Linked DNA regions of Cricetulus griseus. The protein of the gene in region 1 interacts with the protein of each later gene in a biochemical or structural test. Links are inferred from orthologs where the notes say so. Each region holds a gene or a part of one and is shown in the gene's direction. Other genes may lie near its edges.

Region 1 (2,508 bases):
TTGTCAGGGTACAAACTGGTGGATGTGGTAGTACACTCCTCTAATCCAGCACTTTGAAGGTGAAAGCAAGTAGATCAGAAACCAGGATCATCTTCAACTATATTAATGAATGTCCCGAGCCACCAAACATGTGTTGGTCCAGTTCTTGTTAAAAAGGATGACTCAAGATAATTCCCAATTGATCTTTTTATAATATTAAGTAGCTTAAATCCTTCTCCAGTGGCTCTGTCATTGGCACTTGCCATGCTGGCTGTAGGTGCAATGAGCTTTGCTGATTGTTTTCTGACTCAGCCCAGGGAGGTAGATTAGGCCTCTTGTTTTTGTGAACAGAATATAGATTCCTCCAGACAACCCAACCTCTGGTCTTGCACAGGTCCTGATGTGGTTCTATTTAGGCCCCGAAATGGGCTGGGTGAGATTCAGCATATTGGCTCCTAGGAGACATTGACCTGGAGATGACCATAGCTGGCCTGGAGAAGTACACATTTCCTTTCCTTGGGGATAAGGGAAGACTGGATTCTCCAATATATACAGATATATTGGAAGCAAGATGTGTGTGTTTTATCAGTTAAAATGTCAGAATGTTTATAACACTCTCTCTTTTTCCCCCCCTTCAGATTGTTGAAGGTGAGTATTTTAATTTCCTTTTCCCTTGGGTTTAAAGAAAATTGTTGCGAATACCACAGCATCGCACGCTTTATCAGACTGTCCTTTCAAGATCTCTAGACAGAAAGATGCCTTTGGTCAGACCTGGTTTTACTGAAAATCTCTGCCCAGGATGTCAGGGGCTGAGCTTTCTCCTGAGAAGGCAATTGAGTGGCCTCTGCTTATGGGCAGGACCTTCTGGGGGCAGAACTAGTATGGTGATAGTTTCTCTCTGGGGGCCTCAAGGAGAGGGGAGGGTCTTCAGAGACACTAGGGTAGGATGGTAAAGATGGCTGAAAATGTGACCTTTTCCTTAGAAAGGAGAAGGCCAAGAAGAAATGGGAGGAGGTTACGCCCAGACCATGCTGACAGCTGTGTGGTGAGCAGTGATGATGAGGAACTGTCTAGAGATAAAGATGTGTATGTGACTACTCATACTTCTCGAGGCACCAAGGATGAAGGAGCTACAGGACTCAGGTAATCTGCTCTCCTTCTGTTATGTTGGGTGGAGACGGGAGCAAACAAATGCTGTACTGTATATAAGCTGTTACTCTAGAACAAGTATCTGCCAAGCATGCTTGGAATGCAGGGCTGGGATCAGATGTCTGACCAGGATAGACCAATGGACAGACAGCTGTATCAGGAGACAGACATACCCACAGTGTTCAGGGTATAAGTGGGTTGTTCTAGGTGCCACTAGCAGGAATGCTGGAGGTGGAGGAGGTGGGTGAGTCTTTTCTTATAGACCTGTTCTCTCGAATCCCTCTTTCATGGCCATTCCAGCCCAACGCTTCAAGTAGTTCATTTATTTATCTTCAGGTTGCTTTTTTTCTTTTAATTTTTTTTTTTTTTTTTTTTTTTTTATGTGCATTGGTGTTTTGCCTGCATGTATGTCTGGGTGAAGGTGTCAGATCTTGGAGTTACAGTTGCGAGCTGCTATGTGGGTGCTGGGAATTGAACCCCAGGCCCTTGGGAAGAGTAGTCAGTGCTCTTAACCGCTGAGCTGTCTCCAAGTTTTTTGTGCGCCTGTTCTAACTCAGCAGAAGTGAGGCAGGGAGAGATTTGGTAGAAGATTGAACTGCATATATGAAGCTACTTTAAGAGGGTGTTATCAAGTATTTGGGTTTACTTAGAAACTGATGTGGAGCACTGTGATTTTAGGCCCTCGGGTACTGTCAGTTGTCCGATCTGCATGGATGGATACTCTGAGGTAAGTAACCTACTTGTGTCTCCTTTTGGTTTTAACCTACTTCACTAAAATGAAGTTAGAGGATCTGTGCCTCATACGGGATTTGACACCTATCTATCACAAAGGCCAATTAAAAAGGAGATTATGCCAGTTGGTCATGGGCCCTCTACATTTTATCTTTAGCCTCTGCAAATTCATGTTTCCCACCGTAGCCTTAACTAGAAGCTGTTGATTTTTGCTGAGCTTGCCCATAATCCATTTTTATTACTGCAGCTGGGAAAATCCTGTCCTGTCTACATTCTGTTCCATAGAGGCAGCATTTGCTTCTGAGATTGTTGTGTAGGCTCCTGCTTTTTCTGGTAATAACCTTGATCCTTTGTATACACTGGTCTCAGTGATGGCTGGGTTAGGGTCCTTGGTGACAAGGAATACTTTAAGGCTGTTCCTTTTAATGTCTTCTAGATTGTGCAGAATGGGCGCCTCATTGTTTCTACAGAATGTGGCCACGTCTTCTGTAGCCAGTGCCTCCGTGATTCTCTTAAGAATGCTAATACTTGCCCAACTTGTAGGAAGAAGATCAACCATAAACGGTACCACCCCATTTATATATGAAATGTTCAGAACTGCTCAGGATAGACCAATGGACAGACAGCCAGGCTGGCCTTTCTGCATGG
Region 2 (4,267 bases), on another chromosome or scaffold:
AAAGATCTCTGGAAGGAATAGTTGACAAGCTTTGCTATAAACTTACCTCTTTCACTGGGCTATGTGGGCTTTATTCTATGTTGTAATGGTGACAGCACAATGTGCTTGACTGATTCTGTATTTCCAAGTCATGCAAACTCCCTCAAGATCACATTTTACATAGGAAGGGGAAAAAACCATTTCTGGTAATAGGGTGACATCTTAGAGAGGGAAGAATACCAAAAAAGGTTTCTCTTTGGTAAAGATAAACTGTGTTAACATTATGCCATAGAATAACTGCATATTTTAAAGATCTTTTTCCTTTTGTGAACACATTTCCTTGCGGATGTTCCCAGAGAACATCGTGATCTATCTTAAGTGTGAAGAGTGATATTCTACATTGCCATTATATTTATATCTATCGTAGAGAAATGTCTAAAAAAGAAGGCAAGTCAATAAAAAGAAAGATTTAAACTTTCGGGTAAAGCAAAAGCCATCTATCTACTCGACATGCCAGCCTCCTTGACTCTTTTAGAGATAGGACAGGAGGTGCAAGCTTTAGCCTTCCATTTTTTCTTTTATAAACCAAAAGACATCTTTGGTTCTGGAAGAGCTTTAAAAATGTGACTTCTGATAAATGTTGGCAGAACTGGTGCATGCCTAGAATAAATTCTGTATGCTCAGTGTTTCCTGCCCAAACTCATTCATAGGTTGGCTGATCACAAAACTGCCCACCACAGAATTGGCTGAAGAGAAATGTAGACATGGCACAACGTGAGCTAATATATGAGAATTTGTGGCTAGAGTCAAATCGCTAATCAAATAGACTGATGTAACAACGACTACTATGATACACATGGAGTTTGCAATTTAGATGGTTGGGTAAGGAAGCTAGAAAATCTCACACAAAAGAAAACATTATTCTTTCTCCTTCCCTTCCCACTACATTTCAGCACAAAAAATCTAGTTGCTCTTGCCTTTAAGATGACAGCGTTGCCCTGCTCTCAGTTTTCATTCTGTTCTATAAGGAAATTTGTGACTCTCTGTTCCTCCCCCCAACCCCCAAATTAGAAATAGCCTCCTGGATCTGCAAAGACTAGAGAGCACCTCCCCCCCCCCCGCGAAGTTTTATCTGGCTCAGAAGAAGAGCTGTAGGTGTAGAAAAGGCATACAAAGGGGGATTAAAAAATAAATTTAAAAAACTACAAATCTTACACCTGTAGCTAGGAAAACAGAATGAGACCAAAAGAAAATAAAAACAACCAAAAAATTCGCGCATCCAGACAGCTTCATGATCTAGGGAGTACTGCTGCGGTTCGAACCTGAGCTGCGCCTCACCCAGTAGCGAGGGTGGGCCAGCGTGTAAACTGGCTGGGATGAGAGGTACCCAAGGCGCCCCGCCCCGCCCCACCACGCCCCGCCCCGTCACGCCCCCGGGCGCCCGCGCCACAGCCAATCGGACGTGCCGGCCCCTTCCCATCGGCGACTCCACCCCGTGCCCGGGATGTTGGGCCCCCGCGGCGTGACGCGAGCACGGCGGCTCCGCCCCCTGCGTCTCTGGCCTCGCTGGCCTTGGGGGGATGGTTTCATCATGGCGTCAATGCAGGTGAGCGGAGCTGCTGCAGCGGGGCGGGCGTGGGGGCCGCCGAGACGGGGCGAGCGTCGGCGCGGGGGCGGCGTCCGGGGCCGCGGCCCAGGCTCCCGGTGGCCTTCCCTGACCCCAGAGCGTCGGGGATCACCGGTCGGCGAGCGGAGCGGGGGTGTCGGCCGGTGGCCGCGGACAGTCGCGGCCGCGAAGTTGTGGCATAAAGGCGGCTGAGGGGAAGAAAGGGCGAAGTTCGGCGTGCGCTCCGCGGTGGGGGCTCCGCTCCGCGCCCCCGCTCGAGGACGGCCGCTGCTTGGCTCCCAGGCCACGGGGGAGATGCTTTCCTCTCTCCCCTCCCCCTGCGCTCCCCGGCGGGGTGGAAACAGCTGTGCCCGCCGCCGTCGCCCGCGGTCCGAGCGGCCCGAGACTGGCAGAACGCGGGGCAGCCGGGGAGCGCCTCGCCGAGGACGGCCGCTTGCCCACGGCCCTCCGCGGCCTTTGCCCGGCCTCCCACGCGCAGCCTCGGAACGCACGGCCCTTGCTAGCTCTTCTTCGATCTTCATCCCGTGCCCCGTGGGTGCCTCCTTCTGTCAGCCCGCACTCTGGGGCATTCCCCGGCAGCCCACGTCTCCTTCGAAGCCGCCCTTCGCCCGCGTCCCCAGCGTCCTGTGCCACCCTGGGTGCGAGCTCGTGGGCCTGCTCCTCGGCCTCTGGAGAAACTCGCTCTTAATATATTTTTTTTCCCTTAGGATGCCCCACCCTTGCGGACTCGGTAAGGCTTTGCCCTTCTTCCCCAGACCTTTAAAACCTTAGTTTGGTAGAAGGTGCCTGTTAACCCGTGCCCTATCAATCTCTTGATGGTGGTTTTCTTGCCTTCCAACTTAATGTACTCCTTTTTTCCCCCTTCCAAATCCAAGAAAAAAAATCTTTTTTTTTTTTCCCCAGGCAAAGATGGCAACTACAGTTGTAGTTTGTAGAGATTGCATTATCTGTAGCTGGCGTTTAATGTACAGATAGGGTTAGCGTGTTAAAGCACATAAGGAGAGCGGGTAGAACTCTTGTGTAGAGAGTCAGCGGAACGCCTTTTGGAGTTTTACACCCTCTTGAGTAAAGAGAGAAACCACATTTTCCTTAGAAGAATTTTTGGCTTTTGTTTCTAGAAGAATAAGCAAGATCCCGTTGTTGGCGCTTCTCTGTGCTGGAAATGTTTTTCATTCTTGCGCATTTTCCCCCCTTTTCACTGTGTCTTTCAACCTGCTTTCCTTAAAATACTCTGCTTTTGCCTTTGCGTGTCCCTCTGGCTTCTCCTGCAGAACAATAAAACTGCAAGTAACATTTCTAGTTGAAGAGATGTCACGAAATGGTGCAGCAAAAACAAGAACAATTTCAGGAAACGTTATACTTTACACTCTCCCCAGAGACGTTAGAGAAGTTTCGTCATCTGAGGCCAAAAACGGAACTGTGGAGCACCAGTTGGACAGCAGATGGGCTATATGATTGCTTTAACATTTTTATCGGTATTAAGACATTGTTTATTATGACCTTTCGAAGATGAGCTGTCTTAAGATAACAGGCATGATTTAAGACTAAAAATAAAGATTAAAATCCACACACTTGGGATTGTATTTGGCGTTGGCAGGAGAGCTGGTTAACTTTTACTACACTTCAAGTATTTGGAAAAAGCAGGTTTGTATATAAGAGAGATGGATATTTGGTATTCACTCTGTGTCTTCAATAGTGGGGAAAATGCCTTTTATGCCTGATCTGAGCCTCAATCACTACCTTAGACTCTAGCACCAGGCTTTCATTCCTTTGTCTTCTGATTAGCATGGGGAACTGACCCTTTCTGTTTCAATTAAGGTTAAATCTTGGCCTTTTGTATGTATTTCAAATTATCTGATAATTTTTTTCGGGAAATAACATTTGAGGAAGATTTATTTTTATGGTGTGGGTGTGTGCATGTGAATGCAGGTGTCTGTGTAGGCCATTTCTGATTGACTGGAGCTAGAGTTGTAACAGGTGCTTTCCAGTTGCCAGATGTGTGGTGCTGGGAACCAAACCAGGCTCCTCTGCAAGAGTTGTTCTTGCTCTTAACCACTGAGTTATCTCTCCAGCTCCGTAGCAGACTCTTTGAAGGACACTTTGGTGTGTTTTCTTTTTATTTCTGTATCTTTGTACAAAGTTTATTTCCTGACCATTTTCACAGCAGGAATTAGCTCTTTTCAAAACAAACACAACAATGTAAGTAATCAAAGGTGTTCATTAACTCAGCAAGTATTTTTAGATAAGATTTCCATATCTTACTACAGGGGGTTATTATTATTGCTGAAGAAGAGATTACTTATGCTGCAGTCGGAGCTGTATTTTAAAAACAAGCCATACTGTGCACATGTAATGTGGGATTTGATCACTTGATAGCAATGGAATAATTTTTATATGCAATAAAATCAAGTTAGGGCGGTCTTTCAGTTTCTTACTAGAGGATATGAAATTTAAAGCTGAGGTTATAATTATCTGTCTGTCTGTCTGTCTATCAGTCAATCATCTTTTTGGTTTGGCTGTTCTGGAACTCACTCTGTAGGCCAGGCTGTCCTCTTAACTCAGCTGTCTGCCTGCCTCTGCCTCACAGGTGCTGGGACTAAAGGTGTGTGCCACCACTGTCCAGATTGTTTTTATGTGTTTTTTTATCTTTTTTGCTGTATA

What was found. The genes of interacting proteins can lie anywhere in the genome.
Region 2: the proteins of Rnf4 (region 1) and Ube2w form a complex in vitro, tested with the Homo sapiens proteins (2 studies listed by BioGRID). The link is inferred for Cricetulus griseus from reciprocal best matches to the Homo sapiens genes RNF4 and UBE2W.

The regions. Positions count from the first base shown.
Region 1 is NW_023276807.1:103,341,062-103,343,569, forward strand, and holds part of Rnf4 (E3 ubiquitin-protein ligase RNF4), read left to right. Parts: intron 1-617; coding exon 618-627; intron 628-962; coding exon 963-1,122; intron 1,123-1,806; coding exon 1,807-1,855; intron 1,856-2,107; coding exon of another isoform or gene 2,108-2,164; exon of another isoform or gene 2,165-2,193; intron 2,194-2,296; coding exon 2,297-2,446; 3' UTR 2,447-2,508. UniProt on the Homo sapiens protein: E3 ubiquitin-protein ligase which binds polysumoylated chains covalently attached to proteins and mediates 'Lys-6'-, 'Lys-11'-, 'Lys-48'- and 'Lys-63'-linked polyubiquitination of those substrates and their subsequent targeting to the proteasome for degradation.
Region 2 is NC_048595.1:144,389,676-144,393,942, forward strand, and holds the start of Ube2w (ubiquitin-conjugating enzyme E2 W), read left to right. Parts: upstream 1-1,462; 5' UTR 1,463-1,483; coding exon 1,484-1,585; intron 1,586-4,267. UniProt on the Homo sapiens protein: Accepts ubiquitin from the E1 complex and catalyzes its covalent attachment to other proteins.